Tamandua tetradactyla: one gene and its partners. The protein of the gene in region 3 purifies or fractionates together with the protein of the main gene of each other region. This does not show direct contact. Links are inferred from orthologs where the notes say so. Each region holds a gene or a part of one and is shown on either strand. Other genes may lie near its edges.

The links.
Region 1: the proteins of KAT8 (region 3) and PHF20 purify together in Homo sapiens (affinity purification with mass spectrometry; 3 studies listed by BioGRID and IntAct, counting the BioPlex papers as one, with this or other methods). This does not show direct contact. The link is inferred for Tamandua tetradactyla from reciprocal best matches to the Homo sapiens genes KAT8 and PHF20.
Region 2: the proteins of KAT8 (region 3) and KANSL1 purify together in Homo sapiens (affinity purification with western blotting; 4 studies listed by BioGRID and IntAct, with this or other methods). This does not show direct contact. The link is inferred for Tamandua tetradactyla from reciprocal best matches to the Homo sapiens genes KAT8 and KANSL1.

The regions. Positions count from the first base shown.
Region 1 is NC_135327.1:16,733,983-16,742,035, forward strand, and holds the start of PHF20 (PHD finger protein 20), read right to left. Parts: upstream 3,101-8,053; 5' UTR 2,964-3,100; intron 1-2,963. UniProt on the Homo sapiens protein: Methyllysine-binding protein, component of the MOF histone acetyltransferase protein complex.
Region 2 is NC_135332.1:20,449,479-20,457,407, forward strand, and holds the start of KANSL1 (KAT8 regulatory NSL complex subunit 1), read left to right. Parts: upstream 1-4,902; 5' UTR 4,903-4,977; intron 4,978-5,334; exon of another isoform or gene 5,335-5,473; intron 5,474-6,544; 5' UTR 6,545-6,689; intron 6,690-7,929. UniProt on the Homo sapiens protein: Non-catalytic component of the NSL histone acetyltransferase complex, a multiprotein complex that mediates histone H4 acetylation at 'Lys-5'- and 'Lys-8' (H4K5ac and H4K8ac) at transcription start sites and promotes transcription initiation.
Region 3 is NC_135349.1:23,435,065-23,442,151, forward strand, and holds the start of KAT8 (histone acetyltransferase KAT8), read right to left. Parts: upstream 3,002-7,087; 5' UTR 1,944-3,001; coding exon 1,733-1,943; intron 1,605-1,732; exon of another isoform or gene 1,105-1,604; coding exon of another isoform or gene 1,077-1,104; intron 363-1,076; coding exon 288-362; intron 209-287; coding exon 33-208; intron 1-32. Other genes in the region: BCKDK (branched-chain alpha-ketoacid dehydrogenase kinase), read right to left, coding at 4,940-5,084, 5,175-5,333, 5,821-5,910, 6,004-6,132, 6,448-6,521, 6,691-6,789, 6,867-6,986, 7,067-7,087.

The DNA of each region.
Region 1 (8,053 bases), on a different chromosome or scaffold from region 3:
AAGGCCTACCAGCACCTTTCCAGTTTCACAGAAAAATCTTTGGTTGTGTTTAGAACTTCACTACTCAAAAAGAAGTTAAGCAAGCAACATTAGCATTACCTGCAATACCACTAGGGACCCACCCTAGACCTATCAAATCAGAATCAGCATTTTAACAAGATCCCCCTCCCCCCGAAATGTATATGCACATTCAAGCTTCAGAACTACTGATGTAGAATACTTTAAGGCTGCACTATTCAGCAGTACAGTGACAAAGTCAAATAGGCAAAGAAAGAGACAAAGTACCTCTTCACTTTCTATATACCACATTTTATTAGGTACCGTTCAAACAGTCCTTCAATATTTTTTTTTAACATGGGCCAGTCCTCCAATATTTTTAATGAATTTGTTATTTACTAATAACCACACAATTTAAAAGCGATATCTATTTTACATTCTCCAAATAACACAACTTGGCTCTAGGGCTTTCATACACATAAAATATAAAACAGCTTAGTTGTTCTGAAAATACGATAATGGTTAATTTTATTCAAGTTACAACACTGAGTTCAGAGCACTTCTCCACAAGCCCCTTTAATTCCTATGGGTTCCTGAGAGTATCATTAAATCTCTCAGCATCCCTAAGAGGCAGGTGCTTGACAAACATCGAATCTTCAAATGAGATACAGAAGGACCAGGTCGTGAAAATGCAGTATTTTCCTGCCTTGTCCTGCCGGTGTGGCTTCTCAGACCCAAACTCTCTCCCCCACTGAGGTTTCATACAGCTGCACCCTCAAGCACTTTCCAAAGGGGAAAAAGGTCAGAGGCATCACTATCCACAAGCACTTGAGACTCCAGCTGTGAGAAATTAAAATAGTTGGGGGTTCAGGCTGAGAAGCCCCGAGTAAGAACCGGAAAAGCATAAGGAAATACAGAAGAAAGAACCTACTAAGAAGCACTTAAGAATCAAGGGGCCCCTGATAATTGTAGATTTTAAAGTAGGGGGAGGAGGATTAAGAAGGCTTGACAGATCTAGGAGAGGATGTTTGGGGACAGATACATATTCATCCCCCACCCAGGGACAAGAACAAAGAGTGACCCACCACATGATTTCAAATGTTTTCTTTTCTTAATAAAAGGAAGAAAGCAATGTAGGGAAGAAGTTTATGGGCTACGAGCTGGGCTACAAAAATCTCTTGAGTTTTTTTCCAGTACAGGGAAATAAAGCTAAGGAGAAAATAGTACCTAATCAGAATCCTACAGGAAGCAAACCACCAGGAGGATAAAGAACCTGTGGAAAGCCAAAGAAATGCAGGGGATTCCTTTCCATTTTGAATCTAACATGGAGGGGAGTGGGGAGGAAAAGGGGCAGCAGACAGTCCTGGACTTGAAACCACCTCCAGCAACAAGGAAAGGGAAGGAAGGAAGAGGAAAATCTCTACAGCCACTCGGTAAGCCCAAAAGGAATTAGAAACCAGAAAAACGCCCAGAGAAAGGGAAAGCCAAGAGAGAAGAGTTCCTCTTTGCAGAAAGATAAGGATAAAGTTGACAGACAACAACAAAAAAAACAGTGCTAGCACCCCCACTGGGAAAGAGAGAGGGGAATTCATGAGCTGTGACTATAGGAAATGTGCTCTTTAAAAAAGCCCACAGAAACAGAAAGTGGTAAGATGTTGAACAAAGATTTGCACTCACCACAGAAGAAAGAGAAAATGGGGTACACTGGTTCAGACAGGGAGAGCATCTAAAGAGAAATATGGTTCCACAAAGGGAGAGAATGAAAAAGAAAATGTCTTCCTTGCTTGGCAGAAAAACTAAAAAGGGTAGGGAATTATGGAATGGAAGCATTCTCAAGAACCACAGACCACTGCCCAGGAATGAGAAGACTCAGGAATAAGATGTGTCCTCCAGATTTAAGCATCAGGAAGGTGGCTGCACCTCAAGAACTGAATACCCCAAAGAGAAATGTGAAAATGAGTTTTCCCAATGAAATAAGGCAGTTTGATTTGAAGAACTCATGAGAAGGATGCAACCTGAAGAACAGAGTGACTGGAAAAGCAGTGAATTCCCAGACTTCTGGAACTGGAAATAGATGCTCCTAAGTTCAAGATTTGAACATTTTGGGGAGACTCTGAAAACAGGGTGCACCCCTAAACTTGAAAGGCAAAGATAGGGAAGTGACCTCCAAATTTAAGAAACTTGGGAAAACGTGCCCCCGGATTTTAGGGCCTGGAAAATGGAATTCTGGCTTGCATTTGTTGGACTCTAAAATACCCCAAAACGGTGGATATTGGACCCTCGGTATGACCGACTCGTTAACCCAGCGAATCTCCAAATTTGAAAGAGACAACTATCCAGGCTGAGAGGTTCAAAAAACGGCAGTAAGCTCCCATTTGGGAGGTCTGGGGAAAGAGGGTACACTCTCAACTTGGGGGAGCTTTCAAAGTTGAGATAAAACCCCAGGGCTGGAGCTTAAGAAAGAGGTTGCGCCGCCAATACATGTTATACAAAAAAGGGGGCAGTCCTATATTCGGGGTCTTGAGAAAGGGGTGTGCTCCCCAGAATAAAACAAAACAGTCAATAAAAGAAAACGCGTGTTCCCAAAGCACAAGGCAATTGAAAGAGCCAGTGATGGGGCTCTTAGGGGAGCCCCACACATCCTAGGTTGGGTTCCTAGCTCTTATCCCCCACCCCCAACACGGCCCAGCTCCGCGCCCAGAGCCCGCACCCCGCGGCCCAGCCCCCTCGGGCGGCACTGATTGGCCGCAGCTGCCGTCACTTGCACGGGCAGCACCAAGGATTGGGCGCCGCTTGCACGCCCGCCACGCTCTCAGCAGCGGTCCCCAGGCCTCCCTCCCGGCCGGGCAAGCTGGGGGCCAGACCGGGAGCAGAGCCGGGCAGGGGACCCGAGGAAAGGTGGCGTCCGTCACCGACCCGGCCCCAGTTGGCCTACTGCGGCGCGCCACGCCTCGCCGCGAGCTCACCTCACGGCCCCGGTCTGGCTGCGCCGCTCCAGGACCAACCGACAGAAGGACTCTGCGTGCTGCGCACCACGTGACCCCGGGACGCGCCCAGCGTATCCACCGCCCCCCACATACACGCACTATCGCCACCACCGAGTGACGCAGCGGCCCAGCTGCCCCGCCCTCCGCCCCGCCCAGTCACCGCGGTGACGGCCCGCGCGGACCACGCCCACGGTCCTGACGCGCGGGAACCAGGCCGGCGCCTGGGCCCGGAACACGAAGTCCAGGCTCGGCGGTCACCGCTATCACACGAAACCCGGGACTGAGCACTATCCATCACCTGTCAATTTAACCTCCTATTTAACCTTCTCGAGGCCACCCACTTCTTCCCCGTCCCACTATCACTTCTCTTCTAGATGATGGTGGTCTCCTCCCTGCTGAAAACATCATTCCTTCTATCTGCATCCTTCTTATCCTCTGACCACGCTGACTTCTGTCATTTTCTGTGACCCTTTCCAAGCTTATTTCTGGTCCATTGAATAAGCTGTTGCTTTTTGCAAGGCTTAACTCTTCCTCATGCTGGTTTCAGTTTCATACCTCCTCAGTGAGGAACTCTTTAGTCACATTATGCAGAAGTGTTCCACTCAATCACACGCCTCCCCCATGGCGATTACTCTGCTTTACACAGTTCATTTTCAGTGGAACACTTAACATGGCTTGTAGATATTTCATTTGTTTGTTCTCTTGGTTGTATTTGCCTATTTCCCGTATTATAGTCAGGGACCACATTATTCACTACTGAATTGTCAGAACCTGGTGAATAATAGATGTTTAATGTGTATCTGTGGAAAGAATGAAAGGAAATGGAACAGTATTGGAAAAAAAAATTAGCAGGTTCTTCTTTATAACTTGAGTCTCAGCTGAGGTAGGCAAAGCAGAAGATGAGGTATGGGGGAACCAGGGACAAAAGTTTCACAATTTGAGAACCAAAAACATGTGTATGATCTCAGCCAAGTGCCCAAATGTTGGAAGAAAAGACTTTTCCAGGATCCTCTGGGTTTATGCTTATTAACAGGAAATTGCTGACATGTCAGTGGCTGTTGTAGTGTATCAAGATTTTTGTTCCACAAACAGCGCTAAGAATCCCAGACTCTGTAGCCCCATATATACATAACATCCATTTCTCCACTTGTTTCACCTGCACATGTTGAGATCCAGGTTTGAGCTGGGCACCAAAGACACAGAGTAGAATGAGATTTAAGTCCTGTTTTTCAAGAAGCTCACAGCCTTTTAAGGAAATTGCCACAACTAGTAAGTGATCATTCTTTTTGTCTGTTGCAAATACAAACACTGACACTGACTATCAGAAACAAAAAAGAAATATATTACAAGAGTATTAGGGCCCAGAGCACTAGCCAGAGGGTAGGCTTGGGAAACAAACAACATGAGAACAGTTCAAGAAGCAGCTGCTACTGCCTTTGTCTTTGATTCACTCACTCAAGAGGCAAAGTCCTGGCCTGGAGCTCCTGTTGATTGGCCAATCTCAGGTCACATGGATTAGTCCAGCCTGCCAGGGGAAGAAGAGAGGGATGATCTTCTCCTTAGGGTATCCTCCCCTCAGTGGAAACAGGGGGATTGATATTGGCCAGAAAAAAATAACCTGATGCAGATATAAGTAAAGTACTTTGGGACTTAAGCTCTTTCTGATTAAAAAACCTGACCTTCCACCTTCTTCTGAACTGGACACTCACTGGCTGCTAGCCAAAAAGCTCCAGTTTGCAATGTTCTCATTTAAAATTCAGGTTTTACCACTGCCTCCTTAGCAGCGTCTTTCTACCTGAGGTTTTCTACCTGAAAATTCTCCCCAGCATCTCAAGAACAGTTGCTTTCAATCGCCCAATTATTTACTGGGCAGAACCTTTCTTTGCACATGATAGGCAATCAACTAATACGTGTGAATGAGTGAGGGAATGAGTGAATGAGTCTCAACTCCAGAGGGTAGAATCTCTCGTGCTATTTAACTAACTATTTCAGAAGTGTGGTCCCAGACCATAAGCTTCACAAAAAAATCCTGTATGTATACAAGATAAACAGTAGCACAAGAAGCATTCAATACCAGCATGGAAAAGAACTTACTTTCCCTAGGCATCAGTTTTCAACAGTAAAATGAGATAATATCTACTCTTACAGAATTGTCAGATTAAATGAAATGGATGAGAAACTGTAAACACTTGCTCTATGCAAATGATTTTAGGATCCTTTTCTTACAAGATCCATTGTCTAGAGATGTCAAAATGTGCCTGGCTAAAGAGAAGAACTAAAAACCTAACACCAGATAGGATTTCAATTAGGAAACTGATCTTTCTCTGCCTCCATCCAGTAAACCTTTATACTCTGATCTTATGCAACCCAAGACATTTATAATATGTCTGTCAAGGAGAAATTAAAACAAAAACCAGGCCCCTTAGCTGTGACTCACAGTCCTAGACCTGGTGGACTTAGAGTAAGTTTGTCAGCCCCCAAGCTTGAGCATTTCAGTCCCCAAATCAAGAACTGTGGTATGATCTCTGCAGCACTAGGCTGAGTGTGAGAATTCAGGAAGCAGGAAACCACAGTCACAGCAGCAGCCTAGGTCCAAGCACCTAGACAAGGCATCAGGGGCCTGAGGGAAACAGGCTCAGTCTTGTCCCTGGCCTGAGGTTTCTCCTGTCAGGGCCTGATGGAAAGCTCCTATCTCCCTCAGGCTTTACCTACTCTCCAAACAAGGGGGAGGAGAATTAAGAAGGAATTAAAATTTATTTCCAGCATTTTACAAGATTATAAGGAAGAGAAGTGAGAAGGAAAAGGGAACATTTTTTATTTCTCCCCGTCACTAAGAAGAGTAATAAATTGCACTTGGAACACTTCAAGGACAAGAACAATATTCTGTCTCCTTTGTCCCTTGAGTGCCCTAGTACCTAGGACTGTCCCCATGTAATTTAAGCATACCTAATAAATGTTTCTTGTGGGCTGAAACTCACACCAGCCCAGAGATAAAGGAAAAGGGGGAGGAGTTTAGGCCCAGGGACTGAGGGAATGGAGGTTATAAAGGGGTTTTAGTTTGCTAAGGATACAGGGATACAATACACCAGAGATGGATCAGCTTTAATAAAGAGGATTTATTTAGTTACAAAGTTACATTTCCTCAGAAGAAAGGTAGCTGGGTTCCTCTGAGTTTCTCTGTCACATGGGAAGGCACATGGTGATGTCCCCTGGCCCTCTCTCCTGGCTTCTAGGTTCAAATGGCTTTCCCAGGGGCATTTTTTTTCTTCATCTCCAAACCTCTGGGTCTGTGTCAGCTCTGAGTTCTGAACTGAGCTGAGCTCCTTTTCTCTCTTTTGATCTCTCTCTATTTATTTTTTTGTTATTTTAAATGTTTTTAATTGTGAAATATATATATGAAGTAAAGAAAGAAAAAGCAATAATTTTTCAAAGTACACTTCTACAAATACTTACAGAACAGACTTCAGAGTTTGTTATGGGTTACCATTCCACTATTTCAGATTTTTCCTTCCAGCTGCTCTAAACCACTGGGGCTAGAAAGAATAATAATATAGTGATTCAGTAGTGATATTCATTTGTTAAATCGTATTTTCTCTGTTATACCTCCTCCTTCTCCTCTGATTCTTCTCCCACTCTGTAGGGATCCTTAGGCAATGCCCATTCTGACTCAATTAACTGATAATTTTAGAGAGGCTGGTCCCTTTGGGTTTCAGGATTTATATGGCTTAGGAACCCTCTGGAAATTATAGGTTCCAGGAAAGCAAACTTAGTGCATGAAATTTGTACAGAGTCTCATTTTGAGCCCTAGGTGTTCTTTTTTTTAAAAAAAACTTTTTTTAATAAAGAAGTCATAGGTTTACAGGAAAATCATGCAGAAAATATTGAGTTCCCATATATCTCCCCTATTATTAATACCTTGCATTAGTTAGTTTGGAATATTTGTTACAACTGATAAAAAAGTATTCTTATAATTTTTTTTCAAAACTGAATACTTTTTTTTAAATTTTTCTTAATAACCTAGGTATTCTTAAGAGTTAACAGGAGTGATGTTTATTGGGATTTAGCTAACTGAAGCTTCGTAAGAGTAGCCTCCAGAATACCCTCTTGACACTATTTGATGTCTCTTAGCCACTGATGCCTTATTTTAATACACTTCTTTTCCTCCTTTTGGTCAAGAAGGAATTGTCTCTTCTGAACTCTCCTTTTAAGTCTCCAGCTAATTAGATTAAACATCACTCTTGCAGGTGTAACACCCATAGATGATTTCACATGTTGATGATTTAAGTTCACAGCAACAGAGCAATGGATGCCATCATCTAGCCAAGTTGACAGCTGAACTTAACTACTACAAAAGGCTAAAGAGGTTAATTAAATAAAGACTCTCTGAATCTCCAGGTACCACATTTCACTCCCCAATTTTTTTGTAATTTCACAATTAAATAGTTAATGCTGTCATATGGTTCAAATATCAAAAATTACATAATACGTATATAATACAGAGACTTCCTCAAATTCTTGTCTCTCATCAGCCAAATTACCAGTGGGATAACCCCTACTCTTACTTTCTTAAGTATTCTTCCAGGGTTTCTTTATGCATATATATATATATAGGCAAATTTGAATATAGGTTCTTATTTAGAACCTTTTACACACAAAAAAGCATTTACACATGTTGTCCTCCACTTTTTTCACTAAACACTTTTTTTTGTATACTGTAGAGTGGTTTCTCATTTCATTATTTTTCCATGTGAGTATCCTGTTACTGAAGTACCATTTGTTGAATTTTTATTCATTTGTTTTTTGGGAAAGTGCATGGACTGGGAATCGAACCCGAGTCTCCTGCATGGCAGGTGATCGAAACCGAGTCTCCCACATGGCAGGTGAGAATTCTACCACTGAACTACCCTTGCACCCCCACTAAACATATTTTGAACATTCTACAAAACATTTTATACAAAGGTATAAAAATCACTTCCTAATTTGTTTTTGCTGCATAGTATTCTTTATGTGGAAGTATCATAATTTGTTTAATCAGTCCCCTATTAACGAACATTTTGGTTGCTTCTGGT
Region 2 (7,929 bases), on a different chromosome or scaffold from region 3:
TTCTGATTTCGCTTCTTGACTGGTGCAGATTCTGCCAATCCTCCCTACCTTCAGCTTACTTATTTGTAAAGAAAGACTGCAAGAACTGTGGGTTGTCCTTTCTTTTCCCTTTATGTCATCATTTCATAAGTGGCTGGCTAAGTTAGGAAGATAACATGAGTGAAAAAAGGAGATGACACGGTTCCTTGGTCCTTTTAAGTATCTTAGCTCGCCACCGTCTTTCAGCTTTGGAAGCAAGTGGGGAAAGCACCGCCTCTGGGAGCAGTCAGCATCCGGGTTACTCAGTGATTGATGGACCAGCTTACCTCGCACTGACTTTGAATCTTGCACAATTTCCAGACTATCACGGGTCCACCAATATTCTGTGCTTTCCCGGCATCTCAAACGCTGTAGTTAAATGGGGTGGCAAGGAATGGTGACATTCTAATTGCTTGGATCTCCTCTACTCACACACAATGTCCCATCTGACAAGTTCAAAAATAACATTGTTAAGAATTTTCAGGAAAGATTTTCAAGCTGAACATTGAACCAAGCCGGGGTCCCTTCTGAGCACAGGGGCCTGCGTAATTGCACAGGTCTCAAAGCCCGTGCTGCCCACCCTGGTGATGGAGTGGGGGGTCAAACTATAATTTATTTAACCAGTCTTTTAATGAAGGGCATTTAGGTATTATTTTCCCCATATTTTGCTTACATTGTTTGTTAAAAACCAAACCTGTTAACTGTGTATATACAGGATATCTAAACATTTGGCAGCAGGGAAAATATTATACTTTTTCATTTTATTTAAACGCTCTGACATAATCTTAATTATATTCTGCGTTGAGATTTAAGCCTTCTTCCCCATGCACAACTCTGTGATGATAATGAAGTAAACATCCTCGTGTGTCCAGACTTTTCAGAGAGTATGTCAGTAGGATAAACTTCAAGGCATAACAACGTTACCTATCACATGGTAGGTGCTTAATACATATTTGAGGAATGAATAAACTCTTAGAGGTGGAATTGCTGAATTAAAGGGCATCTGCATTTATAATTTTGATGGCTACTGTCAAATTGTCCTCCAGAGATGTTGTAACAATTTATATTTTCACCAGCAATTTACAAAAATGCCTATTTCCCCAACTGCCTTGCCAACATAATGTGTTGGCAAACTTTATCTTTGTGACCTTAGATGGAAAAAAAAGTTTCTCAGTGGAGTTTCACATGTATGTCTTTTAGCGAAGTTGAGCATCTTTTATTTGAGTCATTCATATTTTTTTTTTGTTAAATTCCATCATATATCGCGTCTCGGCCTTTTGGCTAAGATCAAGTGTAGTATCTGTTCTTATCAGTTTAATGTCTGATACGTCCTCTATCCGAGGACAATATATTAAATGGATTTTTGGAGCTGGGAGATGGAATAGGAGCTTGCTCCGTCCACTCCACTCATCGACCTGGTATTGCAGTACTTCCAGAAACGGTGCACCCCCTCCTCAATTGCGGTGTGAACTGACAGACTTGCTTTTTCCTTGCTCTCCTGCTATGCTTCTTTTCTTTACCAGACCGGGATGTCTACAGCTCTTTTCGTGTTTTTCCTCCTAAGCTGCTTGTACTGTTGTTTCTTCGTCGTCTCTTTCTTTCTTTCCTTTCTACTGTCACGTCCTTTACTTGTGGCGATGGCCAACCCAGGTTAAAAAAATTAAATGAAAAAAAAATTAAATTCCATCATATCCTTTGTCCATTTTTCTAAACATTAAAAAAATTATTATTTAGCATTTTATTGTGAAATTTAACATATATACATAAAAGTATATAAAACTTTTTTTGTACATAAAAAGTTATAGAAAAAATACTTGTGTATTCAACACCCTGGTGAAAAAATAGAATATTGCCAGCCCTGTAGAACAGCCCCCTACCCCTCACCCCCTCCACCTCAAGACCCGTCAAACACAAACCCCTCTACCCCTACTGGTTCTCCTGACTTTTATGGTGTTCACTTCCTTGCTTTTTCTTATAATTTTACCACCTATCCCTAAATAATATAGTTTTGCTTGCTTTTGAAGTTTATATCAGTGGAAACATACTATACATATTTTTCATAGTTTGCTTTTGTGCGTGTTCAATGTTACCTTTGTAAAAATTCATCCATGTTGTTGAACATAACCATAATTTGTTAATTTTCTTTGTACAAATATAGCACAATTGATCCATTTTATGTTTGGTAGGCATTTGGGAAAGTTCCAGTTTTAGGTAATAAGGAAAAACATTGCTGTGAATATTCTTGACAGTAATCCTGATATTTAAAACTATGCATTCCCTTAGAATATGTATCTAGTAGTGGGACTGCTGGGACCTAGGGTATGCATATCTTAAATTTTATTAGATTGTACCAAAATGGCTGTACCAGTTAATACTGCCACCTGTGTAAAAGGATTTGCTGGTCTTTATTTATTATTTGTAGGAGAAAGTCATATACAACATTATTGAAATTAGCCCTTTGTAATATGAATAATAAAAGTTCTTTTTGAGTTTACAATCCTTTTAAAGAAGCATGGATATTCTCCCTAGAGGAATGAAAATGTCACCGGAAGAAATGGAGTGTTCTAATTTTGAAGCATTTAAATGAAAAACAGTGTTTTGTGCTAACCCTCTTATCGCTTTTAATCTGTTATTGTACGTGACATTAATGTGGATAATCATACCAGCATTTTCATGAATGCTCTACAATACAAGATGCCAAATATAATAATAATGATTGTTAAAAATTGTGTGTTTAGCTTGTGCCAGACAGTGTTTTAAATCCATTATATGAATTCACTCATTTTAATTGGCACAACTCTAAGAGGTAGGTACTATTTTTCACCCCATTTTACAGGTATATGAAATAAGGAGATTGATGGAAGGTGTTTCTAAGCAGAATTAATAAACTCATAGAAAAAATTCATAACTGATAAAGATGTTTTCTTTTTACAATTTGTTTTCCTTCTTGGGAATGAATGATATCCTATCCTGGGCTCATTTTCCCCATCATCTCTGATCTGAATATACCTCATAGTTTTCTCTTTTTTCTTTGGAAGCCAATGTGTTTCTATCTTTCTTGCAATCCTTCCACATGATCCCTTGTCCCCTGTGTCACAGGGATGTCAGGCATCTGCATTCAGGACTGGGAAGTGAAGAGTGCTTGGAGCTTGTGGGGAAGAGGAAGAGAGGAACAAGGATGAGGGGCGAAGACAAGTTCCAGGCCGCTGTGGACATGTGGAGATTGGGGAACATGATCTTCTTAGGGTAGGGTTCTTTAATCTGTGGTATACAGATTTGGGAGACCACGAATTTACTAAAGTCTAACAGAAAGTTAGCATTTCCTTCAGTCATGAATGTAGACAAGATATCACAGGAGCATTAACAGGACCAGTGATCTTGTCTCCAAGAGAAAGCACAAATATTTTCATATTATATCACAGTTGCAGATATCTTGAAATACCATTTATGCTCATTCACTAGCTCAAAATTATGGCAGTCATTAGACTCTCTGCTAGGTCTTATTTAATGCATTAATAAAAGCACATACATTATTATATCACACTTTTAAAATATTTTAGTAATTGTATCTCAATATGATTGGTTTCCTTCGAATTCCTTTAAAAACATTACTCTGAGAAGGGGTCCACATGCTTTGCCATGCATGGACAAAATTAAAAACCCTGCTTTATGGATGTTTTCTTGGCTTTCATTCTTACTGTCACATGGTTGCCTAAAGAGCGTGCCCAAAGTAAGCCTCACGCCTATTTTTCTGGATACCCTCCCTCCCTTAACTTTCATTCGTTTTCAATATTGTTTCTTTTACTTGACTGACCCTCTTTCTGATTCTTTTTCAGACTCTTAACTTTAAATGCAGCTGTCTTTACACTTTTGGGGGGAATTTATCCTTCAGCATATCATCAACCACTATACTTAGGTGGAGAATCCTAAACCTTTTTGAATCCAGTCTGTTCATCTGCTCATAAATCCCATAACCCTAAACTGCCTCTGAGTCACCTCTGTTTGGTTTTACCACTGGTATCTTGAACTGCAGTATTAAAAACTAAGACTCCTCCCCAAAGCTGCACATTTTCCTAAATTTCCTGGACAACCATCTTGTCTATTTCCCTAGTTTTTTGACCTTAGAATTATTTGAAATTTTTAACCAATTAATTTTCTTTGAATTGGCAATTTTCGTGAATGGTACAAAAATCAAAAGATATAAAAGAATAACTAAGGTGATATGTGAGACGTAAGTCTTTCTCCCACTTGGTCTCCCGAGGCTTCATCTCCCCTCCCAGGAGAGAACCACTGTTATCAGCTCTTTGATTGATTTTTTTTTATTCCTTTTTATGTTGGCTATAGCTCAAGTTCTTCTCTGTCTCTGAAATGTGTGCCCTTTCTTCTTCAGGCTATCATGACCTTATACCTGGTTGACTACACACACGTACGCATGTATCTTTATAGCCATAATATCGATATCTATATAAATATATATATGTGTGTATATATTTACATACATATATTAAATCTCCCCCATACATTAAATCTCTCCCTTCCGGCCTCGAGTTTTCATCACGTAGCTTCCTGGATGAAAAACCTACAGGGGTGAGGAGCAGGAGCTGGGGGTGATGGAGAAGAGGACCTAAAGGGGACTTGGGTAGGGGGTTCCGACTGGCCGACTGGTGTGAAGCGCTGCCAGTATTCCCTCCGTCTGTTCCCTCCATCTCAGGGCCCCTTCCTGTCCTCTCGTCCAAACGCCTCTGGTTTCCAAAGGCCGAGACAGAGACAGCGAGATACACAGAGACAGAGACGCCGAGGCATCAGCATCCCTCTCCTCCTTCCGTCCCGCCCCGCCGCTCTGATGGACACCCGCCATCAGCCAATGGTGCTCATGATGGGCCCCGGAAGGGCCAATGAGAGACGGAGGAGGGCGGAAGATTCCCCGCCCCCACTTCTAGGCTTGGTTGAGCCGTGCAGGTAGGTCCCGGGCTGGGGGAGCTGCCGTTGGCACTGGTACCCCGGGGGGTAGGGGCACGAGTGGGTGGGGGTGATGGTGGGGAAAGGGAGGTGGCCCCGACGGGGAGAGCCCGACGTGGCGACCCGGCCTGGAGGTGGGGGCCGAGCGGCCCGGGGAACGGTCGCCGCCGAGGGCCCTGGCAGCGGCAGGACTGGGGGAGCGGGGACGCGTGTGTGGGCACAGGGACCCTCACCCCGCGTCCACCCGCAGGCCTGGGCGGCGCGCCGCGGGCCGAATGGTCAAGGGGTCTGGCTGCCCGGGGGCCGGCCGGGGCCGGGGACACCGAGCAGAGCCCGGGGCGCCAGGCCGAGCCGAGGTGGGACGGACCGACGCGGAGAGGAAGGGAAGCTGCATCCCGCGGGCCGCCCCTCTTGAGGCCAGCGGGGCAACGGCCGAAAGCGACCCCCACGTTGAGCCCACCTCCCCATTCGCCCTTTCCTTAACCACGGGAATAAGGCAAGACGAGTCGCCCCACTGCGAGAAGGTTGGGGTGGGGGGAGCTTAGGTTTGGGACAAGGGTCCAAGGTGGGGGGAGGGGTGGGAACTCGGACTCCCGGTCTCTCTCTCCCGATGCTTCTGAGGTAGGGATCGTGGGAGGGCATATTAAACCCGACTGCGACTTGGGTCGAGAGTCAAACTCCCCTCACCCCTCCCACCCCCAAAGGAAAAAAAAAAATACGATGAGCAGTAAGGAAAGTGATGCCAAGTCTTCCAAGCCGAAGTGACAAACGCATAGTTAAGAATAAATCCACTCCAAAGGTTTTAATTTTCTTTAAATGGGAGTTCTCTAGCCTTTGATTTTTCGAAATTTATTTTTACAAAGGTGGGTGCTGTCATTTTTGTCCCTACTCGGGCAAGCCTCCATTTTAAGTGAAGCAGTAACTGGTTAAGCTGGAATTTCATTCAGGCCTAGGATCCTGCAAGAGGGCATTCAGTCCATCCTCCTGACCCCGGGCAAACTTGCCTCCCTTCTCATCCTTAAAATTAAATTGTTTGGGCTGCTTTTAATGATCTATAGTGAAGAAGGGTCTTTTATTTGCTGACAATGTTTTAGTCAAGAATACATTTTATTTTTCAGGTAGAATCTTCTCTGAAATTACATTTAAGCTGAATAAAATGTAGGACAATCTGAATGATCAGAGAGATTTTAATTTACTAAGTTAAATGTGTCAAAAGTCATTTTTAGGATATTAAATTTTTTAATTATGTTGATGAAATGCCCTGGATAATCATTACTTTTCACTTATATTTTGGTTTTCTATATTCTGTGAGAAGCAATTTCATTTTATCTAAAATGTGTTTTATATATTAATTTCTCTTTTTATCTGAACTATGTATATGTATGTGTGTGTATGTATATAAATACAGAGAGAGAGAGAGAGATGCCCTCTTTCAAAAGGCAAGTGTGTTTTGTACATCTTTTTAGAAAAGTAAGGCAAATAGTACTTCAAATCTCTGCCCAGGAAGCTTAAACTGTTTGCTTATTCTTCTGCATTTTTTAATCTAAGTGAAAGTCCTCTCTTTCAGATATCTTCCTGAAACAATAAAAATTTTTCCTACCTGCTCATACTTGGTGAATCTAAGGGAATTACTAAGACTCCCTTCTTGTTCGTTTTTGGGTATTGCCTGCACTGTTCCTGACACTATGAATGCTATTTGGATGCCTCTTAAGGTAAGACAGTATTTTTCCACTATTGGCCTCATTTTGTTTATTTTTTATTTAGAATCGAGAACTTTCTAATTCTTGAATTTGCTATTCTTCAACCACCTCATGTGGTACTCCTCTCCTGTCAAAAATTAATATTGTGCTTGCTTGCTAGGACTGATTGATTATTCCTCATTTTGTATTTGCTACTTCTCTTGATTATTGGTAATAACATATTAATGAAGTTCTTAAATTAACTTCCATTGTAATGATGTGTTCATCCTTTTTACTTTAAATTATGACAGACCACATAGTTCTAAAATTTCATTCCAGTCCCAGTAGGATGGGTTGGCAATTTAGACATCATGGTCCACTTTCAAACAGGTACTTGAGAGTCATAGGTATTAGGGTGCGCCCACTCTTGCAAATCAGTAGCTGATTCATGTGTTACAAAAGATGTGTCATTAACTGTTTGTTTATTCTGAAACTTCATAGTATATTAGAACATTCTGAGGCATGCTGGTCTATGTGGACAGCTCTGTTGGGGACTCCTGCTTCTGCTCCCTAGTCCTGTGCGTGAGATTTTATGCTGTTTTCCTCACAGGTAGCATTTTGTGCCTAGTTTATCTCACAGGTAAACCTCATTTGGACTGTATGGGCAGAATGGCCTTTAGATGAAAAAGCTCTCATTGGTATGATGGTTCTTCAGTCTCTTGCCTCCTTCCCATCCCTTCTATATAAATGGTCAAAGGACTTTCCATTAAGACTAAGGAGAAGGCAAAGCTTAGAACATGAAGGGAGGAAAATGGGAGGAAGGATAGGGAGAGAGAGATGAGTGACGGAAGCTTCCCCAGGTGACACAGCTTGTCTTTCCTCAGAGTTAGATACTAGTATAGAGATCGTTCCTTGGTAATCTGGTGTGTGGAATTCCAAATGTATGCAATGGGTAAATCAGAGAATGCAGTCTGTGTAACCTAAATATTTGGACTTGTGGTAAATCTTTAGGCAATGTAGACTGAGTTCTTATCTTCATTTATGTTAACAGCTGCACTTAGGATAATGAGTGATTTTATTAGTATGAAAGAAGCCAAAGTGACACACTTTTTCCAGTTATTCTCCCATAGAGTTGGAGCTCCAGCCAGAAGTCCTGAACCCATAGGAATTGGAGGACCTCGAACCAGAGTGTTTCTCTTTGGGATGGAGTGTTTAGTGCCACGACCTGGTGGCCACTCTGGTCATTAGGAAGCAGACAAGGGATTATTAGCCT
Region 3 (7,087 bases):
TGGGACCCCAGGGAAAGGGAAGGGGCCCGGACCTTCTGCACATGGTTGATCTCATCATGCTTGCGCTTTTGGTTACGAGTGATCTTGCGCTCAGGCTGCTCAGCCAGCTCACTCAGGTACTTCTCTGAGTTCTTCTGCACAGCTTCCTTCACTGTCTTGGTCAGTGCCAGCCGGTTTTTGTCTACCCATTCGTCCAGTCGTCGGTTAACTGTGGGGATGAACCATGAGGGTGCTGCCCTGCTAGCCCACCCCTTCCCCCCAGGCCCTGGGCACCCCAAACTACTCACAGCCCACGTAGTGTACATAGAATTCCTCTCGGCCCTCCTGGTCATTCACTCGAGACTGGATCACTTCAGCAGAATCTGGGAAGGAAAATGGTTAGTATCATTAGGAAGCAAGGAAGGGATGGGATCCAGCAACTGAAGTGTAGTTTGAAGACTCCAGGGCCACATGTAGCCTCACCCATCCATCCACATTTGTCATTCCATTCACTCTGCTACAACTCTGTGCAATGGCAGGCTATCTTAGATTAAAATGAGAAAACTGAGGCTTACCCAGGGTCACAGGTTTGAAAAGTGAGAAGAGCCAATACTTAGGTGAGCTTAAGTATAACTACAAACTCATGCTTGTTTAACTATTTATACCATCATTCATTTATTTGGAGCATCAAGAGAATTGGCTCTGGGTTCAGACATCTTGAGTTTATATTCCAGCTCCTCCACTTTCTAGCTATATAGAAATACACAGGGTATTTCTGCGTTCTGTGCTTCAGTTTCTTCCTCTGGAAAACAGGCATTATGGTACCCACCTTGGAGGGTGAGTTAATGTCTGTAAAGTTTTTAGTACAGAATTTGACATCTAGCAAACTAGTCAATAAACAAGTAAGGTAACCACTGTGTGACCCCATCCCACGTTGCTGGGTACAGAGGACACAGCAATGAATCACAACAGGTCCTGCCCTTCAGACATTCCCAATTTTGTAGGGGAAGATACAGACGGGCAATTACAACATTACATATACCATAGCTGAGGTATGAGGAATATACTGTAGGTACATATAGAAGGGAACGACTCACTTTGCCTGAAGGGGGTCAGGAATGACATCCCAGAGGATATGATGAGTAGGTTGAGTGGGAGCTAGCCTGGTGAGCAAGGAGTAAGGGAAGAGAGGACATTCCAAGCAGAAGCCACAGGTGGTCCTCAGAAGGCACAGACAGTCTGGTCTGATGAAGCTGTTGTTAGGGATAACTAAAAACCAGAAAGCAGGCCACAGGGATGAATGTCATTCTAAGGAGTCTGCAGTTCATTTTGGAGATGAGTGAAGGCAAGGGAAGGGGAAGCTCGTTTTTCAGCTCCTCTCTGTTGGAGGCCATAGGGAATGGATGGACTGGGAAGACCCAAAGACAAACGACCAGTGAGGAAGCAGAGTTAACAAGAAAAAGAGAGAAGCCTAAGATAGGGCAAGAATGTGGGATAACAACTCTGCATAGAAGAAAAAGAATCTGATGATTGCCTGACAGGTGGGGTTTGTAGGCGACGCCCGGGAAGGAATCCAAAGTAACGCAGAGTACGAGAGCCCCCAACTCCGCGTTCTCATTCCTCAGTCCCGCCCCACCCCCCGCCCCGCCCTCAACAACTTACAGTCCCAGCTCTGGGGTCCTCTGAGCTCGCGTTCCCAGACCCCGCCCCTCGATCTCAAAACCCCGCCCCCGATGCTGGGCCCCGCCCTCACGCCAGGTGCTATCCGGCCGCCGACACAGGTACGTTTCTCCGATCTCGACGGTGACTTCCGGTTCGCCGCGTGCCGGGGTCGGCGGAGAGACGCGGCCCGGGGACGGAGCGGTCCCCTCGACTGCCGCATTCTCCCCAGGCCCGGGTTCGCCCTCCCCCGCGATCCCTGAAGTCGCCGCTGCAACCGCCACCGCCGCTCCCTGTGCCGCCATGGCTGTAGTGGAAGTGACGTCAGAAACCCGCGCCTCGCCGCGTATTTAGCTCCGGGTTAACTCTGCTTGGCGGAGTCAGCCTCAGGGCGGGGTAGGGGGCGGGCTCTGTGACGTAGCAGGACTCCATTGGTTTATATGACCGTCTCCGCGGCGCCGGGACCAGCTGACATCTACTGCGCAGCTTGCCTTTGAGTTCCTTAGGTTCCGTTTAGAAATATGGCCGCACCCTAGAGTCGAAGAGAGGAGAAAGACTTCCCTGATGTGATGACTCAGCTCTGTCTTTTCAAAGGCCCTGGTGCCAAGAGGAAGCTAAGACGTGGGCCAGAGCTTGCGTGGCCTCCACTGTTGTCTGGCTTCGGGGTTGTGGATAATGTCGCAGTGTTTCCCTTTTGGCATCAGGCCTTCTCTGAGCCTGGAATTAACCTCCTTCCCCATGCTACCCAGCTCCCCCAGCTTAACATTAGCGCCCTTTGTTGAAGAGTGTAGAAACTGTCTCCCTTGCTCGAGCTGGGAGTTGAGTTGGGGTGAAGGAAGCAGGATAAATGTGTCCAGGGAGAGTTAACAAACTAGTTTTACAGAATAAAGGCTTTCTAAAGAAAGGTCCAGGCCCCTCCAAACCAGACGTTCCCTGAGCATAAATTAAAAGCAATGGATACAATGGAGAGCGTCTTGTAGGTTCTGACCCTACCCTGCCCCTAAATTCCTGGGTAGGGTATACAAGTAAGTGCCTTTTCTCTCTGAGCCTCGGTAGAGGTTAAACTGGACACGTTAAAGTGTTTTGCATACTCCAGTCAAGACCAGTGCGCAACAAACGTTTTCTTTGACCACTCTCTCAACCTTTGATTTATAATTTGGTTACTGGGCTTAGACAATTATGAGAGGAGTGGGATACTCAGAGGATCAATAAATATCTGAGAGCTGGGTATCGATGAGGAGTAGCGGTGGGAAGTGTTGGTAAATTGGCTTTTTGGGGAAATGGAGGCACGTGGGAGCCAGTGAGGGCCAAACGTCTGACAGCATAAGAAGCAGAAGAAAAAACAACAGGCAAGAAAAAAAAACTCTAATGCCTTCCCCCACCCCCCTTGTATCTTTAAGATTGTTGTCCCACTTATCCAGGGTCCCAGTGCCTCACACTTCACCTGAAAAATTCAGGTACCTATGCTGTCCTTTCTAATTAAGGATTAGCCTAGGGCTTTTTAGGGTCACACTGTCAGCCCCCTCATTGTTCTACCCCAAAACTACAGACCACTAGCCCATGCGCATTTGACTATTCCTCCTAGGACTAGGCAGAAGCTCTGCCAGATTGCGAGACCTCTTTTCATTCTTTCCGTGTGCCCAGTTTCCCTCTGATGTGTTCTCACAGGCCAGCACCTGAGGCTCTTTAGTGACCTGCCCAGGGGCCAAGAGCTGTTTTGCCTAGAAAAGCTCTCCTCCTCTATTTCCCAACACAGCGTTTAGCCATGGATAGGCAAGTAGTTAATGACTCAGTTTAGTTCCCAGGCCTCAATTCTAAGACATAATTTAACTGGCTCTGGACTTTTGCCTCAGATCATAATACTTGCTTGGCTTCTTTTTCTTGCTTCCCTCGATCCCTTCTGGGTCTCTCTTAGGAGCACTTTCTTGGACACCAATGCTCTTCGCAGGATCTATGTCTAGGGAATCCTACCTGAGATATTCCCTTTGTAGTTTAAAACCCGTCCATTGATGCCACTGCCTCCAGGAAAACACCCCAGCTTCTTAGCTACACATTCAAGGCTCTGCCCTCTGACCACCTCACCAGCCTCACCTCCCTGCTCTGCAGCCAGTAGGCTTTTCAGCCCAGCAAATCAATGATTTCCTACCACCTGCCATTTGATCTCCAGATACAATTTCTTGTCCTTCCCCTCAACCCACCCCCACCCCGACGGCCATGCGTCACCATGAAAGGTAGAAGATAGAGTAAGCTGAGGGCTGGCCTCAAGCAGTTAGCCACTAGGCCTCTCAGATGTGAAGGCAGGAGACAGAGGTTTAAGATTTTCTTCCCCAGACCCACCAGACAGGTCCTCAGGCCCTCCTTCTCCTCCTCTGGCAAGATGGGCAAGGGCTCCCACCTAAAACTCCATCTGGAGTTTCCCTTCTCACAAGAAGCTCTACTTCAAGTCTAACCTTGAGCCCACCTGCTATCTGGAGCCCTTTCCTTTTACCCATATCAGGGCCTCCCTTCCTCTAGTGGGGCACCCAGTTCCTGCTAAGGCCCACAAGGACACAACCTTGTGTGTTCCTTTCCTTGGCAGCAGGAGACACAGCTAGCAGGCAGTATTTTTAACCTTACTGAGGCTCAGGAGTCAGGTGGCTCAGGAAGTTGCTCAGTCTGGTGACCTTCAGCTCTAGAAACCGTGACTAGCAGGAAGGGAAGAGTCAGAACTGAGGCCTGGAGCCGGGCCAACACAGACCTTCAATACTTCTCTGGGATCTAGAAACACTTGTTAAATGAGTAATAGGTCTTTTCATAAACTGCCAGTCAACCCCGCTCCCGTCAAACCAATGTGCAAGAAACTTGGTTCAATTTCCATTCCTGGTCTGCTAGGCCATCAGAATAGTTAAAGACTGGGGAAGGACCCAGTTAAACCCAAGGGCCCAGGGAACATCAACAGGGCCAGAAGCAAGAGCTCACTTGCCCTCCCCACACATGGGGCCCAAAAGGGCATTCAAAATGTGAACTTTAATAAACAGCAGGTCAAAGTGAGAGTCCCTCAGGAACGAGAATGATGGAGCTGCTGCTGGAGGCCTCAAGAGTCCCCACTTCCCTGCTCCACAGCCTGGAGGCAGGGAAGTAGTCCCTGTTTAGGTGGGTAGGTAGTGGGGGGTGGTTCCCAGCTCCACTTAAGTCCACCTGTCTGGGGACCTAGGACCCAAGATGCAGCAGCGTGTGGAGCAGGGGGAGACCTGCCTGGCCTGGAAGGTCCTAACAGAGGGTGGCCCAGGCTAGACAGGCATGCAGACCAAGTGCTCCGGGGTCAGATGCGGAAGCTTTCCTCCCGGCCATCGATGTGGCGCAGCCGCAGGTAGACGTCCGTGCCAATGCCCTGCAGGGACTGCAGCTGCAGGGAGCCACCGAGGTACTCCGCGTAGGCCCGTGACGTGGGCAGCCCGAAGCCAAAGCTGAAGGTGGGCATGGGGACAGGACAGGGGGCTTCAGAGACTCAAGTCCCCAGGGACCCCTCCCTCCATCCTGGTCAGGGGGTGCCTCACCCGTGCATAGGTCCTGACTGGCCGCCGCTGTGCATGTCCAGGTGGCCAAAGAGGGGGCTGATCCGGGGGTTCTGGGTGCTGGCCTCGGCCGTTGTGAAGTGGTAGTCCATGACTCGATCCAGGTCTTTGTGAGCAACTCCCCCTCCCCGGTCCGAAATCCTGGCAGAATGCCCATGTCATGGGTCTGGGTCAGCTTTGATGGGGTGCTCACCACCTCTCATCAGATAGTGCTGTCTGCCTTCCTGGCCCTTCCACCAGAGGTGGAATGTGGTTCCCCCAGACCCTTGGGCCTTGTCTGCATTATCTGCCTTTCTCTACCCTTGCGTCCACCCGTACCACCAACTTCCTAGCCCTTCTCACAGGACTGGATGTTTATTCTCAGCCCAGCATCATCAACTGTTACTCCTGACTGTCTCTCAACAATAGACCCCTGAATTGCTGAGAGGAGCAGGGCCCCGGGGTCAGCAGTTAGCTCCAGATTCTTTAATATCAGTTCATAGATAATCTCAGAACTAGGGAGTGTCGTGTTTGACCAGGGACTAGATCCCAGAGTGGGGCAGGTACTGGCTTGTGGTCATCCAACAAGTCAGAAACAGTGCCCAGGAACCCCCTGTCTACCCCAGCCCAACTCCCACTCAGGACAGACCTGATGATGAGATCAATATCATTGTTGGCGATAGTGATGACCACATCAGGGACGTTGTAGGGAGTGTCCAGGTGACTCTCCATTGTAGCTCTATGAAGGGACAGAGCCGGGAGATGGTGGCACCCCAGCTCCACCCCAGTTCACATTCCCTTCCCTACCCCCAGTACATACTCTCCAGCCTACCTCATGGCATTCTTGAGTAGCTCGGGCAGGATGTAGTCCAGTGGCATGGGGATGAAAGGGAAGCGGGCGGCTACATGCCCATTGATGCGGACGCGGGGGGCATTGCCGTACTTGTGCTCACACAGGCGTCTGTGAATAGGAGTATGTGTCCAGACAGGTGTCCCTAAACCAGTGGTCCTCAACTGGGAGCAGTTCTGCTCCCTAAAAGACGTGTGGCAATGTCTGGAGACATTTCTGGTTGTCACAACCAGAGTCAACTGTGTAGAAGCCAGGGGTGGTATGAAACATCCTAGCATTCACATAACACCTCGCCATACCCCCAACAGCAAAGACTTACTGACCCAAAATGTCCGTAGTGCTGGCGTTGAGAAACGCCAGGCAAGGGCTCAGATTCCACTCCTCCCTGTCCCCAAGACATACACCCTCTTGGTTGTTCAGCCTTACCTGGCAAAGTCCACCCACTTTTCAATAATCTTCTTTGGCGAGAGGCGAGTGCAGATGATGCCGACAAAGTCAGGCTGGCAGAAGAAAGCGGGTCAGGACTAGGCAACACCTCCACCCCCCTCCTCAGCCACCAGCTGCCTGCACCGAAGCAGCCCCAAGCCTCTCCCCTAAGCCCTTGACCCAGATCTCTAGCCTTTGGCTCCCCTGACACCCCCAGCCGGATCTCAGGTTCCAGCCCGCCACCTTGTCCTCATGTAGCGCCAGGTGGTGTGTAGCCAACATGCGGATCCCGAGCCGCGACGTCAATGTCTTGTCTAAGAAATAGCGGACGAGCTTTTCATCCTGGTAAAGAGAGGGGCCTCAGAACCCTCATGCGCCCTGTCAGACCCCCACCAGGCCTGAGCCCTCACTGCACTGACCTGTATGTGCTTCCTGCTCTCCCGCAGGCCTTCAGCTAGGAGAGTCACCACATCCTTATGGTCATCCAGCAGCTGTCTCACTAGCTGGCAGTACTGGGCCTCATCTGCCTGGTCCTTGATCTGCAGGTCACAAAGCCATAAGCACAGGTTGTCCGGCTCTGACCTCTCAGCCCCTCACCCTGCCCTGACCCAGTCCTCACCGGAGGGAAGTCTGTCAGCTT